Linked DNA regions of Rattus norvegicus. The protein of the gene in region 3 interacts with the protein of the main gene of each other region in a pairwise test. Links are inferred from orthologs where the notes say so. Each region holds a gene or a part of one and is shown on either strand. Other genes may lie near its edges.

Region 1 (6,383 bases), on a different chromosome or scaffold from region 3:
ACATCTGGATCCTGTTATCTGTCTGCAGATGAGGAAAAGAGGCGCAGACTGGTAGTTATCTAGCCCAGGACTAGTAAGTGCTCCCAGACAGTCAGGGTTTACTCACAGCTCCAGGCCCAGGAGGCTGGCCATGTCTCCACAGGGTTGGACCCTACAGAGCACAGCTAATGGGTACAGAGCTACAGGGATCATCCCTTAAGAACACTGTAATAAACACATAGTCAAAAAGCTCACCAAAAAACCCCAAGCAGAGGCTAGGTACCGGTTTGAATCCGTAAGTCATCTGAGGCCTGAGGCGTCAGGTAGGTTGGGCGTCCTCCTTACAGGTGATGAGCGAGTGGGGCTAGGGAGACCAGAGAGTCTGGGCAGTTCACTTTCAACTCCCCCCCTTAATAAGCAAGTAGATTTAATCAATTAGAGAGGAAAACCTTTTGGCTGGGAAGATACTGAGGTGCTAAAGGCCCTTGTTGCAGTAAGAAGCCAAGTTTGAACCTCCTCGCCCTGCAGCATCTTCCTAGACCAGGAAAGGGTCACCATCTGGCTTCTGGTGGAGTCTAGGTACCCTGACAATGTCCTCTGACCTGCTCCAGAGGGCAGTGAGTGGCCTCTGCTCATCCCTGCCTCCCCAGGTACCTGGTTCTGCAGCTGGGTGGTTGTGGCTTGCCGGTCACTGTCATGGAGGGCCAGCCTCTCCCGAAGGACTACCAGCTCCTCCTGAAGCTGGGACATGGCCTCCACGGTCCTATGTACCACGGGGTCTGGGCCTGGTGACCCGGACAGGCTTGAGCACCTCCCGATGCCAAGGAGCCGCCCACCTACAAGCAAAGTAGTGGCTGATCAGCAGGACAGTGGAGGTCTGCCTGGAGGAGGAAGGCAGCCATCACAACAAGCGCACCATTGGGGCTAGGGTGAGGACTGAAGAATACAGCAAAATGGGTTTGCAGAGGACCTCCGGGTTGTCCTCTGGGGAAGTCACTTTAGCAAAAGTTTCTAGAGGACAGAACTGACTAAACCAAGACTTAAGAAAATAATTTTTCCTGAGTCCCCTCAAAGTAGGAAATTTGGCCTGCACTCAGGCGATTTCCTGGGAAAGAATAGAGGCTTACTCAGAAGTGGCTCTCCATGCTCATTCTCGATCTCTCAAAAGCACAGCAGAGGGCTGGAGAGATGGCTCAGTGGTTAAGAGCACCCGACTGCTCTTCCAGAGGTCCTGAGTTCAATTCCCAGCAACCACATGGTGGCTCACAACCATCTGTAAAGAGATCCAATGCCCTCTTCTGGTGTATCTGAAGACAGCTACAGTGTACTTATATATAATAAAATGAATAAATCTTTAAAAAAAAAAAAAAAAGCACAGCAGAGAGGACCAGGCTTTGTCTGCCAGCTGTTCTGTGGGACGTGGTCCCTGTGAGTGTGGAGGAGGGGTAAGGGGATGTGTGCAAGCAACAGATCAGGGCACAGATGGGCCAGCACGTGGAACAGACAAGGAGTTAAGCACATTCTCAGGATGGTGCCTGTATGCAGGCACAAGAGAAAGACAAATACCAAGTCAGGCGAGGCCTCAGCCCGACTCCTCCCCCAACACCTTTTACTGTTCTGTCATCGAGATGAGAGACAGGCTGTGATGTGTAATGGGGCTGTGGTGCTTGTTCCAAAGCTCTGAAGAGGAGAACAGCCTGGCCTGTGTAATGCAGAACCAATAGCGGTCCAGGAGGACAAGAAAAGAATTTGCCTCCTCCCCTCAGCATCCCAAGTCGGGGCCCTGCAAAGATTCTGGGCATGCAGAAGTCCAGTGCTAGCTGGTGAGCCTTCTACTTCAATGCTGCCTTAGCTTCTGGCTTCCTCAGAGATGAGGGGCCTCCCTGTGTCTCACCCCCACCACTAGCAAGCCTTGACCACAGTTCTGCAAAGCCCCAGGGCAGTATAGGGAAATGGGAGGGAGCAGCTGAAGCTAGGCTCCCATGGGTGGGGCTGGTGTCCTCTCCCCCCACCCCCGAGATCTGGGGCTGGACAACCCGTGCTAGGCAAGTGGCCCCAGCTGTGTGGCCCTGCATGTGACACAGCATGAAAGTCACACAGTGCAGGTCCAGCCTCTGTGATCTATTCTAGAGGGAGTAAGGGCAGCCCGATGCTTCTAGGCCAGCACACGGGGCTGCCACGGGTGACATGTGACCAGTAAGGCCACAGACTGCATCGGTGCGCGACCGAATGTGCTGGGCTGAGAGCTGGTCTTGCCTCTTGAATCACATGGGAGGGACCCTGCAGGCTCTTCCTGTGTGAAACAGGGACAATGCACCTAGCCCAAAAGCAGCCATGGGAAAATAGCTGGAGTCCCATTGGAAACACAGGTATGAGTGTCATCCATGACACCGCTCCTGTCCTGGGAGGCTCTGAGCCCCAGACCACAGCATGGTACCCTGTGTAAGAGGGCCAGGAGTTGAGTGGAAGCTGCAGAGTCATGGGTAGTGGAAGAGACACTCTTGAAGAAGCTAAGGGAGGACTGAGCTAAGGGAAGAAGGGAGGAGAGGTGAGGCCCAAGGGTGCTTGAGCAGGACAAGCCCCTGCTGAGGAAGCTACCACCTGACAGGTCAGTTTCTAGAGGCATGGACCACGACAGGGCCCAGAGCTCAGGTGCTATGCCTGAGCTAGGAGGACCTAGCCTTCCTTCCTCTGGGCTTACCCCACCTAGCTGGCCAGATGGTAGCCATTTTGAAAACCTGACTGCCCATTGCTTACACACCCTATGCCTGCCCTGAATCTAGATGGACCAGGGCTTGTACACAACAGGCACTGGTTCAGATTCAGAGGAGGGAGGGACCTCCTCCAGCAACCCCAGCAAGTTCAGACACACAGACTCTGAGAAAACAGCACCTCTCCCCAGTACTCCTGGCCTTGCCCCGAGGCTCCCTAAGATGTTCTCTCCCTGTGTTCACTGGCCAGTACTTTCTGCTGAAAACCCAGAAGACAGCAAAGGAACCTGGAGAACCTTTGAAAACCAGTTAGTTCTAGGTGCCCTAGTGGTCAGGGGATAATGGAACTGCAGGCTTAGTTTTCTCTGCCTGGAGGGAGGGAAACGAGTCCCTGACCTCTGGATCCTCTGACCGGAACAGAGCCAGGCCTTTGCTGAAGGAACTGGTGGCGTCTGCGAGGCTGCTCCTGGGCCCTGCTTTAGGTAGGTACTGGGAAAAGACAAAAAGAAGGGAAATCCAACCCAACCTCCACTGGCCAAAGTCTTATCACTGGGTGGGGCCCTGGTGGCCCTGGGACAAGGGGCAGGACAAGAAAGAGGACAGACACATGGCTGTCCATGGATCTGGACGAGGCTGGTCGGAGTCTCAGGTTCATGTCAGGTGGCCAGCCTGGCTGAGCCACTTCCAGCTGTGGGACAGAGTTCTCCCTCCTGCACTCGCTCAGCCAGAGCGTGTCAGACAGTGGGGCTGACCTCCTTTACCTGGTTTTTCTACATTCATGGTACCACCAGCTTCTGGGGCCTCCCGGTCCCGCCTGGGGGCCGGCGCCTGCCTCTTCGGGAGTCTGTCTTCTTTCGTCCCCTGACTCTTGCTCTCGCACCCCTTGTCCTGCAGGGCCTGCTGCCAAGACACAACCAGAATCCTCTCGTGAAGGGACTGCACTGAGGAGAGACCCTTGCCCTGGGGTTGTGAGCACTCTGGTCCCAGGGCCCAAGCACTGTCTTCACCAAGGAGGTGTGGACAAAGAGTCTTGCCTGGAAACCGGAGAAGTCAGACTAACATCCTACAGAAAGATGACAGTAATTTATTCTTGGGTGCCACCACAGTCAGTCTCCACACCGGTAAAAGGGGTTCTAAGAACCTACGTCCCCTAGATAAAGTCTGTGCTATCCCTTCAGGCTCCAGGGGGCAGCAACATGTGAGCAGCATTCTCCTAACGAGCCTTAATGCAGGTGGCTGTCTTGTCCTGCCTACACACGGCAGTCTTAGGGCCACTCCCCCATAGTGTCATAGTGTCGCCTGCTGTGACACCTTGGTAGACAGCTTCCCACCTAAGGATGGCACTCCCAGAACCAGGAGGCTACACACGAGTCCATCTGACCAGGAGAACGGCCACTCTGCTTCTTGCATGCTGTGTCCCATGGGGCTATCCAGGGGCAATGCGACCCCATGTCCTGGTCAAGGGACTGAGGCAAAGGTGGCTGGGCTGGGGCAGGTGAGTGGAGGGGTAAAGTGGGGCACTTCATTTGGAGAAAGACGCCAAGCAAGGGTCCAGACGGTGTGGGGAACGTGAACCCATTTAAGGGTAATAATACACAAGACAGATGAAAGGTGAACTGGGAGCTCACAGGCAGCGGGGTCTGTGTGTGCGCTTGGTGTGGGGCTGTGCGCACACAGAGACCCACGGACACGGAAACAAGAGCAACTTAAACCTGGGGGATCGAGATAAACGTCACAGCCGCAGAGGAGGATCTGATCAGGAAGGGCTCCAGGTCGTTCTGGACCCATCTGAGGCTCGACTGTTTTACCTTAAAGACACGGCTTTGCTGTGCTTGTGTTCACAGGGCATCTGGGAAAATGCCTTTCTGTCTCAAGCCAAGTGTCAATCTTGTTCTATTTTATTTACAGGGCCTCATGCTGTAGCCCTGACTGGTCTGGAAGCTGCAGAGATCTGTCTGCCTCTGCCTTGTCACCACTGGAACTAAAGGCTTGTGACAACATCCCAGGGCCAGGCGCCACACCTTTTCTTTAATGCTTGGTACAGGGAGGGTAAAGCACAGAGACAGCATGTCATCTGTGTGCTGTGTGGCTGTAGACAAACTCTGCTCCCTCTCTGAAGCTGTTTCCCTCCCTTCTCAGTCTAATCAATCTCTGCCCTCTAGTGCCAGTGGGCAAACCAAAGGCAACACCAAGCAAGGCATGCTTCAAGTGCCTTAAAGAGGCACGGATAGCTACCATCAGTTTATACTTTCTCTGACCTACACTCTAACTTTGAGCATCAAAAGGCCAATCAAAAGAATTGCAAGGGCTGGAGGGATGGCTCAGTGGTTAAGAGCACTGACTGCTCTTCCAGAGGTCCTGAGTTCAATTCCCAGCACCCACATGATGGCTCACAACCATCTGTAATGGGATCCGATGACCTCTTCTGGTGTGACTGAAGGCAGTGACAGAGTACTCACATAGATAAAGTAAATCTTTTAGAAAAAGAATCGCAAGAGTGAAAATCGGCCCAGCAGGTGCCTAGTCAGCCACATCCTCAGCCTCTTCCTCCCTCCATCTCTTGTATTTAGGACATTTCTCCTCAGCTTAATTCTGTCCCCGCCCTTCAACCAACTGCTACACTATCTCCTGCAGGCTGGGGGAGGTCGGGGTGGCAGGGATGGCGACAGTTGGAAGTTTCCATTTGCCTTCAGGCAGGAGCAAAGGTTACTATTTCTGGGCTGCTGGCTGAAGCACAGAAAGGGGGCTGGGAATTTCTGCAGCGTCCTGGAGGTACCACTCGGTCTTTAGTGGCTGGAACAAGGCTGGACTGACTGAGTCTGTGACCTACAGGTCCTGCCCCTGTGCTTGGAGCACACTTCGGCACACGTCCGTCCGTACCCATAAGGCAGAGCTCTGCAGGGCCGGAAGGACATGAACTTGGAAGCTGGTCACTAACGGCTTCTGAATGGAGCGTCAGTAGAACTGCTGAGCCCAGGCCTCCGTAGCAGCCACAGCCCAATACCCCATAATCAAAGCTCAAGAACAGGGCCACCACCCATCTGAGCTGCAGCTCATGACCACAGCCTCCCGATTTAACTTCCCTCTGGTTTCCTTAACTGTTGTCTTACCAGACCCACTCTCCTGGAAGACTTCACTAAAGAAACAAGTATGGTCAGTTCAGTCCTCAGAAGAATCTCACAAGAACCAAGAGACATGTTGAAACATAGGCTGTCCCTTAAACACCATCATCCCTGGGGTCCTGCCGAGAGCAGCAGCCCTGGACTGTATCCATCTGCTGGAAAGAGGATGGCTCAAAGGTGTGCGTTTCCCCCAGCACCCATCCTGCTAACCACCGGCACTTGCCTTTACTCCTGGCTCTTGGAAAAGGCAGGATGTGTGTGAGTGTGTGTGTGTGTGTGTGTGTGTGTGTGTGTGAATCAGAAGCTGGTTTATTCCTAAACCCACAGCACGTGGGAACAGGAGTATCCTGGCTCTTGGAAAAGGCAGGATGAGTGTGTGTGTGTGTGTGTGTGTGTGTGTGTGTGTGTGTGTGTGTGTGTATCAGAAGCTGGTTTATTCCTAAACCCACAGCACGTGGGAACAGGAGTATCTGGTGTGAGCTCCACATCACCTAGACTACAGAGGGAGTCCCTGTCTCAAAAATATAAAGAAGACTAGAGGATCATGAGTCCCGTCTCTTAGGGGAATCTG
Region 2 (6,691 bases), on a different chromosome or scaffold from region 3:
AAAGGAACTTGAGGACTGGGGTTGCTGGTCAGTGGTAGTATTGGTCGATGGGACTGACATTTGCGGAAGATCTGAGGGGAACCCTGCTCATAGCATTTGGCAGATGAGGATGGACTATTTATGATGCTGTTGCCATGGATGCCATTAGGGGCATTAGCTGTGATTCCAGCTAGCTCAGAGGAGGTCAGAGAGGGTACCACTAAACAGTCATGGGTATCAAGTCCAATACTGGAGAGTGTAGGCCAGAGCCTGGGACATTCTGGGAGATATTTTTTTCTTCTAATGATATAGTTTGAAATAAGATACAGTAGTAGGGAGTTTGTGTGAGTGAGTGTGTCTCTGTATATATGTGTGTCTGTGTGTGTGTATATCTCTGTGTGTATCTGTGTCTCTGTATGTATGTGTGTCTGTATGTCTTTATATGTATCTCTGTGTGTGTCTGTGTCATATCTGTGTGTCTGTATCTGTGTCTGTATGTGTGTGTGTCTGTGTATCTCTGTATGTGTTTGTGTCTATGTGTGTGTCTCTGTGTGTGTGTGTGTGTGTGTGTGTGTGTGTGTGTGTGTGTGTGTGTATGATTTTTATATTTTTCTGGGACTGTGGCCCTGAGGCATGAAGGATAGAAATTCAGGGTTAGATTCTTTGGGCTTTGCCTCCCTAGATTGTAAGACCTCCATCTCAGTCCATCGTGTCTTCTGATTCAAAAGCATGGGAAAAGGTCAGGAGTGGGTCAGTCATGGCATCCCAAAGCTGGCAGGGTCTGACACTGGGCAGACCTCAGGAAGGTTCATCCCAGATGTACTTTAGCAGAGTACATGGCTGGGTGAGCTCACTGCACATTGGTCCATAGACGGTCAGGATCAGAGTGAACATCCATGGAGGAGCATAGTCCCCAAAGTTGAACATGGCTCTGTCCTCTGAGTGCCCCAGACTTCTGTGACTCAGGAGGCGGCACAGGAAGTCAGTATGATGTGTTGGCTGAATCAATGGGTGGTTCAGGACTCTACCCACCAGTAGCATCCAGCTGTGGGCTTATTCATACCATTTGCTACTAATAATGTTCTCAAGTCCCTCTTCTCCAGGAGCTCACTGGCCTCATGGGAAGGGCGTACCATGATGCTCCTGGTAAAAACACAGATGTAATTTTTCTGTAACTGTGGTCAAATGGTTGACAGAAGCCACTGGAAGAGGTTTGTTTTGGCTCACACAGTTGAGGAGATACAATCCATCCTGCAGGGAAGACAGAGCAGCCAGAGTGGCTCCATGCCCAGTGGTGAGGGCTCGTGTCCAGTGGTGAGGGCTGGTGCTCAGTGGTGAGGGCTGGTGATTGATGGAGGGCTTGTGTCAGTGGTGAGGGCTTGTGTCAGTGGTGAGGGTTTGTGTCCAGTGGTGAGGGCTTGTGCTCAGTGGTGAGGGCTTGTGTCAGTGGTGAGGGTTTGTGTCCAGTGGTGAGGGCTTGTGCTCAGTGGTGAGGGCTTGTGTCAGTGGTGAGGGTTTGTGTCCAGTGGTGAGGGCTTGTGTCCAGTGGTGAGGGCTGGTGCTCAGTGGTGAGGGCTGGTGCTTGATGGAGGGCTTGTGTCAGTGGTGAGGGTTTGTGTCCAGTGGTGAGGGCTTGTGTCCAGTGGTGAGGGCTGGTGCTCAGTGGTGAGGGCTTGTGTCCAGTGGTGAGGGCTGGTGCTCAGGTAAGGGCTTATGCCCGGTGGTGAGGGCCTGTATACATCTTTTTAGCTCAAGAAGCAAAGCTCAGATAGATAAAGTAGGCTTGGAGTTCAAACCCTCCAACACCCATTTTATGCCACAATCCACCCTTGTCAGTCATGTTTCCCACCCCAAAGGTTCCACAACCTCCTCAAACAGCACCGCTCTCAGGAGAGTGTGGCTAAGGGGCAATGTGGTCATTTCTGATTCTAGCTTCAGTGGTTAATTAATTCAGTGGTTATTAATTTAAAATTCAAATTCTTGTTTCAAAGTGCAAATGCATTTTAAAGGCAGGTCTTGTGTCTTTAAAGCAGACTTTAATTTACTAATTTCAAATATAATTCCATTTTACTGAACAGGACTTAGATTTTGTTACTCACATGTGTGAATGCACATGCGTGTGACGGGAGATCATACAAAACCCTCAGGCCCGAGGCCGGAGAGATGGCGCCGTGGTTAAGAGCACTTCCCGCTCTTCCAGGGGACTGGAGCTCCCAGCATGTGCAATGGGTGGCTCACAGCAGCTGCTGATGATCCAACACTGACTTCTGGTCTCTGAAATCACCATGAATGCACGTGGCAGATATATACACAGACAGCAGATATACAGACACACAAGACCCCACAGCACACAAGACCCCACAGCCTTGGTATTTAAATGTGTGCCTTTCGGATTTTATAGGTGGCCCCTGAAGAAGATGAGAGAAAAAGGAGGCGGCGGGAAAGAAACAAAATTGCTGCTGCCAAGTGTCGAAACAAGAAAAAAGAGAAGACAGAGTGCCTGCAGAAGGTGAGTCCCGCCTGGCCCAACCTCCCCTGAGGGGAGGGAAATGCCAGCTGTAGGCAGAGGGTAGAGCAAAGCTATTAGCAAGGTGGAAGCAGGGGGGGAGGGGGGTGTTGGGGATTTAGCTCAGTGGTAGAGCGCTTGCCTAGCAAGCACAAGGCCCTGAGTTCGGTCCCCAGCTCCGAAGGAAAAAAAAAAAAGCATGGTGGAAGCGATTCTGGAGATGTATATGTGTACACATACATACACACACATGTATAGGCATATGTGTATATATATATCCATTTATATATACATACACATACACACACACACACACACACACACACACACACACACACGGCCAGCAAGCTGGCTCATGAGTAAAGGTCCTTGCAATGCATATGTGGCACCCTAGTTTGACACCCAGAACCCGCTGTGGAAGGAGAGAACTGGTTTCTAAACGTGACCTCTGACCTCCACATGCATGCTGTGGCACAAATCCCCAGCAGTTTCTAGACTTGCGGGTCACACCAGCCTATTTAAAGAGACTTTACTCATCAGTTTTAACAAATACAAACTGCAAAGCCCTGCCACTGCCTTTGGCTCTCAGGAAAAGCTTGCATTAATCTCTTCAAGTTACGGTGCTGAAGTGGTGCTTACAGTGCTCCTCCCTGGATCTGAACCCTCCTCTCTACTCCATGCTTATCCAGCACTGAGCACCCTGGGAGGCTGACACCCCACACCAAGCACCAGGGGTACAGCATGGGTTCACAGGCAAGGCAAGCTACAGAGCCTGGAAGTCTTTGCAGGGGCCATGTCTGCTCTCCCAAGTGTGTGCAGGGCAGCTTCTCAAAGAGATGTAAAAGCCTGGGTTGTCTGCTCGCTACTTCAGGGTCAGTGAAAAAAAACTTGGGCAGCTTTGGTGTTTCTGAGAATACGTCTGTGGACATGGGAGTCTTGGTGAGATCAGAAATTCAAAGACAACTCCACACCACCCGTTTGGGTTCCTCGATAGCTCCCACGATCCTGTGGGGCCCAGATGCCTTCCCCACGGGCAGTGAACTAGAGCAGCTCTCTCTGAGCCCTTGGTGCAGTTCCATCGAGCATGGGCGCCCGGCTCGGTGCTGTCCCTAAGCTTTCTTTCACGTCTCCCAACTTCAGAGCCCTCTACAGGAAACCCTGTACCTTCCACCTTCCACCTAGTTTGGTCCTCCCATCCTTGTGGTAGGACGGTTCTGCTAGCAGGTCTCAGTCTGGGGAGCCCCAAGGATTCCAGGTGGCCCCCCATCTCCCTGCCCCTTGGCTCCCTCCATAATGCTGCTGTCTGTTGATCATCCCTCAGGAGTCAGAGAAACTGGAGAGTGTGAATGCCGAACTGAAGGCCCAGATCGAGGAGCTGAAGAATGAGAAGCAGCATCTGATTTACATGCTCAACCTGCACCGGCCCACGTGTATCGTCCGGGCTCAGAACGGGCGGACGCCGGAAGACGAGAGGAACCTTTTTATCCAACAGATAAAAGAAGGAACATTGCAGAGCTAAGCAGAGGTGGCATGGGGGCAATTGGGGAGTCCTTACTGAATCCTCCTTTTCCACCCCAAACCCTGAAGCCATTGGAAAACTGGCTTCCTGTGCACTTCTAGAATCTCAGCAGCCACGAGCTGTTGGGTCAGGAGGGCCTGCGGTGACTACTGCGTTGTCCCACTCTGTCCCCGAGTGAACCGTGGAGCAGGCAGGAGCATCCTTTGTCTCACCGGCTCCAGGATTTAGGCCTTACCATCCCGGCCATTCTCAGATGACCTAGCTGGCCCCAGGCTGGGGTCCCATGCAAAGCAGGATCGCACTAATGGGATGCAGGCAGAAGTGTCTACCTTGACAGGTGGGGTGGGACCACGTCCTCCACTGCGGCTGACAACATCCCTCCTAGGGAAGATGGAGTGAGAACATTCATCATTGAAGTTGTCCAATGGCCAGGGTATGCTTTCTAGAAACTATGCTGTTCTGTCCTAGACTGACTGTGCATAGGGCATTCATTTCTGAGCCTGGTGTTGTGCTATTTAGATGTTTGTCTTGCACAACATTGGCGTGATTTTTTTCCGGGAGTTTCATCAGACCTGATTTCCGAGAGTTTGGGGGTCTGCCACTGTGGACAATATCCCCCAAAAGTGTTTGGGTGGCCATGTAAACTGGCTGATGACCAGCTGTGCTACTCTGTGCTGACCGAGGACTGATGCCTCCTTCCCCTGTACCCACTGCTGAGGAAGAACCCGGGCACAGCAGCTGTCCTTGGCTACAAACTGTTACAATGTCACAGAACGAAGGCACAAAGTCCCGCTTTCAAAGGGCGTAGGACTCCACACTCAGTGACAGGGCAGGAAGAGCCAAGGATTCTCCGTTTTCCCTTCCTTCCCACCAAAAACCACAGCCCGTGGAGACTGGTATTTGAAGCCAGGAGTGGGGCAAGGAAGGTGTCTGCACTGTGGGATGTTAACTGCGCTTTTGTCTTGAAGCTATTTTGAGATGCGGTCCAGAGTATTTCAGCTGGGAGGTCCCTCCCACTGGCCACCAGGGCTCTGGCTACTGTTAAAATTCTGATGTTTCTGTGAAATCCTCAGTGTTCAATCCGACTCAGTAGTATATTACAGTTTTCTGTAAGAGAGAACGTTACTTATTTATCCCAGTATTCCTAGCCTGTCAACGTAATAAAATATCAGAATGAGACCTGGTAAACCTTAGCGTGGCACTGGTTTCTGCTGAGTGTTGAAATGGTGATGATGCCTTTCTGTCATGGGGTGGTCAGCACTGAGTGTTTGGGGACGGATGGCTTCCTTCGTTCATGGGGAGACCACTAGGTAGGGCAGTTAGTAATTCATATTTTATGTGTATGGGTATTTTGTCTGCATGTATGTCTGTGTGCCACGTGCATGCAGTGCCTGGGGAGGCCAGAAGAGGAGGGCATTGGGTTCCCTGGAACTGGGGTTTCAGAGGGGTTGCAAGCTACCATGTAGTTGCTGGGAACGGAACCCAGATCTTCCCCGAGAGCACCAAGTACTGTTGTTAACTGCTGATCCATCTCACCACCTCCATTTATTTTTATTTATAATCGTGTGTGTGTGTGTGTGTGTGTGTGTGTGTGTGTGTGTGTGTGTGTGTGTGGTGTACATGAATGCAGTTGCCCACAGAGACCAGAAGAGCTCTTAAATACTGAGCCAGCTCTGCAGCCCAGGTGGGTGACTTCCCACTCCGTGCCTCTCATTGACAAACCCCGAAACAACGCTACAGGTGTGTCCTTCAAGCCACCTGTTTGGTGCTAAGATAGATTTTCGTTTGCTTTGAGTCAGGGTCTCAGTATGTAGCCCTAGGTGACCTGGAACAGAGTACACAGGCCAGACCGTTCGCTGATCTGCCTCCGGAATGCTGGTTCAAAGGGGTGCACCACCATGCCTGGCTTATGATAGAATTTTGATATAGAATCCAAACTGCTAAGTAGTTCAGCCGCCAGTTTCTCTGAACACAGAAATACACCTAAGACATGCACTTTTTTTTTAAAAGATTTATTTATTATATAAGTACACTGTAGCTGTCTTCAGACACACCAGAAGAGGGCATCAGATCCTATTACAAGTGTTTGTGAGCCACCATGTGGTTGCTGGGAATTGAACTCAGGACTCTGGAAGAGCAGTCAGTGCTCTTAACTTTGAGCCATATCTCCAGCCCTTTTTTTTTTTTTTTTTAGCTTGAGAGATTTTTACAAATTGTGTTTAGTTTGGAAGCAGATGGGGCATATGTGCGCTAAAGAGAACAGCTTGGAATCAATCTCTTTCCGCCATGTGGGTCCTCGGAATTGAACCCGGGTCATCAGGCTTAGCAGCTGCACCTTTCCTGGCTGCACCGGTGGCTTTGTCTCAGCTGGAATCTATTGAACTTCCCTAAATGAGTTTCAGCTTGACTTAGACATGTTAACATCTGTTAGCATCTGTGCACCTCATAGCACATACGTATTTCAAATACCAAGGATGAAGAGGGTGGGGAAAAGAAGGCGAGAGAACAGTCTTGGACAAGATGGAGGGTGGGTAGGGTTGTTCCAAGAACGGTAATTCTAATTTTCTGGAATTTCCTGGCCCAGTGATTTCTCCCTTCCCCTCTCCCTTGAGACTTCTCCCTCACTTTGCAGTTCTGGGGATATACCTAACCCTCCCTTCCCTGGCAAACCACAGCCCTTGAATGGA
Region 3 (6,383 bases):
GACAACTTCTCAGATAATACTTTAAGAGGGTTTGCCCCGTCCCCTTTTCTCATTAGCAGTTGTTATGTGAACAGGGTTAATCTCTTTTTTCATTGCAAACTGCTTTCAATACAGACACATTTAAAAGGATAACCATTTTATCTCAAATACAAAGCAAGAATGTTTCCTGTTTGAAAAATATCTTCAAAAAAGAGAAAGCCAACCTTTACCTGAATCTTCACTAAGACTTTTAAGTAATGAAATTTGAATAACAAGGTTCTCTTTAAAAAAAGATGAAATATTTGGAAATACCTCAATCAATGATAATTTGGTTAGATTACTTAAAAATCCCAGCCCTCATGTGGCAGAGGCAGGTGAGTTCCAGGACAGCTTGGTCTACATATTTCCAGACCAGCCAGTGCTATATAGTGGGATGCTGCTTCAAAATTGGAAGGAAGAAAGGAAGGAAGATAGGAAAGGCAGGTTGGAAAGGCTTTTAAATAAACTTAATATGCTATTAATATTGCATATCCAAACCACAAATTTTAGAATGTTGCTACAAGTAGGCTTTAAAAATATTTATCCATGTAATAACAGAATAAAAGTTTTACATTTGTTTACTTTGTGTACATATATATATTCCCACACACATGTCATGGCACACATATGGAGGTCAGAGGACAATTGCTGGCGTTGGTTCTCTCCTTCCACCATGTGGGACATAGAGATTGGAACAAAGGTTGTCAAACTTGGTGGCAAGTGTCTTTATCCACTGAGACATCTCACCAATCCCAGAAAAACAAAAACAACAAAAAACCCAACTATATTCATTATATGAATGACTAAGACTTATTCTTTTTTTAAAAAAAGATTTATTTACTTTTTCATGTATGTGGGTGGGTACATTTACTGCTGTCTTCAGACACAGCAGAAGAGGGCATCGGATCCAGTTACAGATGTTTGTGAGCCACAATGTAGTTGCTGGGAATTGAACTCAGGACCTCTGGAAGAGCAGTCAGTGCTCTTAACCACTGAGCCATCTCTCCAGCTCTTAAAGTATTCTTTATGGGAAATTATTAAGAAAGTCTCAAACATGCTGTATCATAAATGATTTGGGGAAAATGAAAATAGTATGCTTTGGACAACTCTGCTAGATATCTAAAAGTGCTTTTCAGAATGAAAATGTTAAATGTTGAAGAATAATTTGAAAGTATGAATAATACTATTTTGTAAAAAATGATATGAAAAAGAAAATTTTCATCACTTCAAATACTGTGCTTTTAAATAATTGTTTTTTTCAATTATGTGTACGTGTGTTTCTCTATGTGTGGGCATATGCACTGTATGCAGGTGCTCATGGAGGCCCAAGTTGTCAGATCCTCTATAGCAGGAGCAAGTCAGTTGTGAGCCATTTAAAATGGGTGCTGGGAACTGAACTCATGTCCTTTACAAGAACAGTACAAGCTCTTAACCACACATCTCCAACAATATGTTTTTAAATGTTCACTGGACAACTCAATATAGTTAATCACCTTTTCTTTTTTTTTCCAAAATTTGTTTATTTAGCGAGTTTCTTATAAAACTTCTTTTGGATTTTTCTTACAACAAAGTAGCCCAGGCTGGCCAAAAATTTATTATTTAGCAGAGGCTAAGTATGAACTTCTGATCCTATCTCTGCCTATTGACTATTGGGATTACTGTCATGTGTCATCAGGCCTAGATATTAATGTTTAGACCTTAACATGCTTGGGCCATCAAAGAAATTCAATAAACTTCATGTAACCACAAAGGACAAGTGTGTTTTTTTCTAAAGAACATGTATAACTATAAACACCATAGCTATTTGACAAGTGTTCAAATACAAATACCTTAAAATAAAAATTAGAAATATTTGAATTTCACAAATCTAGTCAAATCGAAGTGAGGTGAATCAAAAAATAGTACAAAAAGAAAACAGAAAACAAGTGTGGGCAGGGAGGTAGAGAAATGTTTTCTATCCAATTATGTTTGCCTAGACTCTCATAGTATCGATAAATAAATATTACTCCCCGTTAATAAGCATTTTGATAAATTCCATTTAGTAAGCCAATCAAGCAGTTCAAGTATATTTTCTGGATATTTTACCAAGACCAATTTTGACACAAAGACTTAAATGGTCTAACTTTCCAACTTACTGGGACTGCAGCTGGAACATGCACATTAGAACTTGTAATTGATGCAGGAATAGCAACGGGCATGGTTTGTCCATTAGGAAGATGTAATAGAAGAGGAAATGGGCCTGGTACAGGACTAAGAAAAACAAAACAAGGGAAAAATGTAAAGATCTATACCAACCACCTCTGTAAAATAACAGTCTTTTCCCTCCTATTACTTAAAAATAAGTTTTCTAACCTTCAAAAGGCAAATTCCAAAACTTAGATATTTTTAATTGCATCTTAAATGCATAATCTATGTATGAGTGTTTAAAAAAAGCCTTGGGAGAAGTCATGGATTTCCAATTTGTGAAACGAGAACATTTCTTATCAGAAAGGTCTTTGGAGTTACTTTTAAGAACTGAGACAAATGTCATCTTGAAATGAGTAACTTTGTTTTGTGTCAAACGGCATAAAAATAAGACCATCTTAAACTTATAGTCTATGTTCACTGTTTTAGCTAAGATTTAGATATTTATTGTCCAATGTGTCAGATATTACTTTTTAAAAAATATTAAAGTTTTCAAAACCCAAAACAGGCAGATGGTGCTCTTGTGCGCGTGCGTTCTCTCTCTCTCTTGCGCTCTCTCTCTCTCTCTTGCGCTTTCTCTCTTGCCCTCTCTCTCTCTCGCGCTCTCTCTCTCTCTCTCATACACACACACATATGCACAATTTAATTCACGTAATTAAATATCCTAGGGAAAAACCATAGTAAGAGAAACCCTAACACCTCCCGTGCAGTCAGTGGCTGACTGGAATCACTTACACAATTGGCCTGTTAGAGGATGGTGCCTGGGTGATTACAGTACTTGAGGTTGGTGAAGGTACTGCTTGTTGAATAATTACACTTGAGTCAGAACTTGTGAGCAGCACATTGGGAACCTGTAATGATGCTGGACGAACGATAGCTGATGTGGGCTGTGCAGTTTGTGCCAATGGTATTTCCTATTTAATTTTAAGATAAATAAAGGGCGGTATTTAAAAACGCAAGTTAATTCATGTACCTCAGTGAACAGAATGTAACACATTTCTGAAAGCAACCACGTAATGCCTCTACAAGTAAATTAATATCTAATGTTAATAGAAAATATCTAAGCAGTTCTAAAGTTCAAATACCATTCTAAAAATTTAAAAAAAAACATGTTTTGTTCAATATGTCTTTTTATCACTCTAAAATAAATTAGGCTGGGCTACTTAGCAATGTTTTTGTGAGAATTTTAGTAAGAAATACAAATACAATTTACTCTGGGTAATTAAAAAACAAAACTTGGAAGGGGATTTTCCTTTCCTATTTGTTTATTATATTGCAAAGTCAAGAAACTGATCCAGCAAGGTAGTGCTATGACAAACAATTTGGTGTTTAGAAATGTGTCAAGATGTGGTGGTAACACACACCTTTGATCCCAGGGAGGCAGAGGTAGGTGGATGTCTTGAGTTTGAGGCCAGCCTGGTCTATAGAGCAAGTTCCAGGACAGCCAGAGCTAAACAGAGAAACCCTGTCTCAAAAACCAAACCAAACAAAGGGACATGTTTTAAGACATTTAAACTAAAAAAAAAAAAAAACAAAACAGTCTGCTGATCTCAGGTAGTTTTTCATTTGGTAACAATAATTTTCTAGTATTAAAAGACCAAGTAACACTGATACGTGAGTATATAAAATTAGTAGGTACAACTTCCCAAACTAAAGAGAAATAGAATTTATGAATCAGCCAGGATGAGTCTTAAAATATTTCCTAGTTTTACAGATTACAAAAGAGATGAGGGCTTTACTCAGAACTCCTTAACTATTCTGTCCCTTTGAATTGTCCTTTATATAGCTACTATCAGTTGGAGCCTTATTAAGATACTTCCAAGGAGAAATTGGTAGCATTGTAACTACGGTTTTCAGCACATCTAAAAGCTTCCAACTCAACAATTGGAGAGCAGAGTGACAATGAGTAAAACCATTACAGAAACTTCTATCAAAGTAGACATTAATCGTTCAACGATAATGTAGTAAGTCAAATGATTTAGCAGAGGGAAAGGTAGAGCTTTAATAGTGAAGGAATAAAACCTTGCCAAAAAAAAAAAAAATCTGATCTGATATGAAAGAATCAAGAGGAGGACAGGCTGTAGAGAAGGAAGTAATGCTAGGCAGGAAAAACCTTAAGAGTATTTGATCAATACAGAGAGCATGAAATGAGGATGGAGGGATAGACAGTCAAAACTCAATGAGGTTTTCCCTAATGAATAAATATACATTGTCGTTGTCGTCAAGAGCAAATTACTAAAAGACTTTCAGTAGAGAGAAGAATGACTCAAATTTTTAAGTTCGCAGGTTTGAAACAAAGTTTAGCCTGGTATGGTTGGCATGAAGTTATACAGTCCCAGCAACTTGGGAACTGTCACAAGAGTATTAATAATATGAAACTACCTTGGAAAACATAAAGAAACTGTGTTTTAGAAGAAAAATAAAGGGATGAGGAACCTTCAGTAGTCTGGAGTACATGTTTGGGGTTCTCGATTCCACTCTCAGCACTGCAGTAGGAAAGGGAAGTAGGGTAGCACTGGTACAAGTGAAAGATGACAACTAGGACAATGACACTGAACAGAGGAGGTTTGAACCTTATTCAAAACATGCTTGGTAAATGAATACACTAAGATCGGCTACTGGTTTCAAAGACAGGTAGAAAACATAAAATTAAAGTGACACCTAAATGTTTTGCTTAAATAAGTAGATAGATGCAGATTTCCCTTTCTTTTTTGTGGGAAAGTGCAGAAAGGGTATTGGGAGTGAGGGGTAGGCCTTGCTACACAGCCCATAAAGTTTTAGTAGCATAGGCTAGCCTTGAATTTCCAATACTCCTGACACTACCTTCCTAGTGCAGGAATTACAAGGACATACTACCATGTATAGGTGGAGGAAAATTTCTCAGAGAAAAATGAGGTCAGAACTAAGAACTCTGTTTCAGAAATACTCAGATGTTCCCTAGACAAAGCTAAGGAGATGCCAACAGAGAAACAGTGTTCAGCAATCAGGAGAGATACCTTGACTATTAGAAATTTGGAATTACCAATATATAGTTTCTAAAATTACAAGTCTTGATGGAATTCCCTAAAAAGAAAATGAGAACAGAGGAGGTCCTGAACTGATTTTCTCAGCGCAGTGAAACTATGAACTACCTAAAAGGAACTAACGACTAAGGAATGCAGAAGCAGCACCCCTAGAAGATGATACACAAGCCACAAAGAATGAAAACTGGAAAATATAAAGGGAAAGGAATGCTCTGCAGGGAAATAAGACTGTTCTCAGGATCCTTAATAACTATAATAAATGTGGAAATGACCATATGTTAAGAAAGAAGAGAGTAATTAAATATACCAAGATAATAATGAAGAATAACCATAAAAACTGTGATTTGGGGATATCTAATGCTTAGCTTCCAAGAATTCTAAGTTAGGGGTTGAGAATATAGCTCAGTGGTTGGGTACCCGCTAGAATTTCAATTCTCAGTACTGGGGGAGGAGTAGTATAGAATAAGGATATAAATAACGTATTAATATTGTATTCCTATACAATCTATTTGTGATTCACAATGAATGTTATTAGGCAAAAAGTTAAAAAAATGAGGAACTTTATTAAAGTTATAGTAATCCAGGTTAATCTGCTATTGAAAGAATTAAAAAGATATTTAGTGTAGTCTACATATGTTTGTATAGCCTACAGTATAAAGTGATGTCTCAGGTTTTCACATTCACTTTATACTATTTCACTTAATCCAGCAGTGTAAATTCCACTCTCTCTCTCTGGTGTATACGTGTATGTCTGTGATATGAGTATACCTGTATGTGTACATGTTTGTGTGTGGGGATGCAGGCATGAACACATAAAGGCCAGAGGACAACCTTTGGGTGTGACTTCACCTTTGTATCTTGTTTGACACAAAATTTCTTTGCCACTGTGTAAGCTAGGGTCAGGTCTATGAGTTTCTGGAGATTTTCCTACCTCCTCCTCTTATCTCTCCTTAAGGGTATGAAGGGTCTACAGGCACTAGTGCTACTGCATCTGGTTCTTATGTGGGTTCTGGGAAATCGAAACTCAAGTTGTCAGGCTTATGAAGCAATTTTTACTTACTGAACCATCCTCCCAGTCTGCATTTTCAATTGTGCCTTCTCTATGTTTAAATACCAGTATGCTGTAACTACCTACATGGTCCATATAGTAGTATCAAG

Evidence for each region.
Region 1: the proteins of Atf2 (region 3) and Kifc3 interact in binary tests that used the Homo sapiens proteins (3 or more experiments, as listed by UniProt). The two-hybrid records come from large-scale screens. The link is inferred for Rattus norvegicus from reciprocal best matches to the Homo sapiens genes ATF2 and KIFC3.
Region 2: the proteins of Atf2 (region 3) and Atf3 interact in binary tests that used the Homo sapiens proteins (3 or more experiments, as listed by UniProt). The link is inferred for Rattus norvegicus from reciprocal best matches to the Homo sapiens genes ATF2 and ATF3.

What each region holds. Positions count from the first base shown.
Region 1 is NC_086037.1:9,902,578-9,908,960, reverse strand, and holds part of Kifc3 (kinesin-like protein KIFC3), read right to left. Parts: intron 3,591-6,383; coding exon 3,452-3,590; intron 1,308-3,451; exon of another isoform or gene 816-1,307; coding exon 634-815; intron 1-633. UniProt on the Homo sapiens protein: Minus-end microtubule-dependent motor protein. Involved in apically targeted transport. Required for zonula adherens maintenance.
Region 2 is NC_086031.1:105,280,938-105,287,628, reverse strand, and holds the end of Atf3 (cyclic AMP-dependent transcription factor ATF-3), read left to right. Parts: intron 1-2,380; coding exon 2,381-2,488; intron 2,489-3,806; coding exon 3,807-4,004; 3' UTR 4,005-5,192; downstream 5,193-6,691.
Region 3 is NC_086021.1:79,152,264-79,158,646, forward strand, and holds part of Atf2 (cyclic AMP-dependent transcription factor ATF-2), read right to left. Parts: intron 3,117-6,383; coding exon 2,938-3,116; intron 2,269-2,937; coding exon 2,154-2,268; intron 1-2,153. UniProt on the Homo sapiens protein: Transcriptional activator which regulates the transcription of various genes, including those involved in anti-apoptosis, cell growth, and DNA damage response.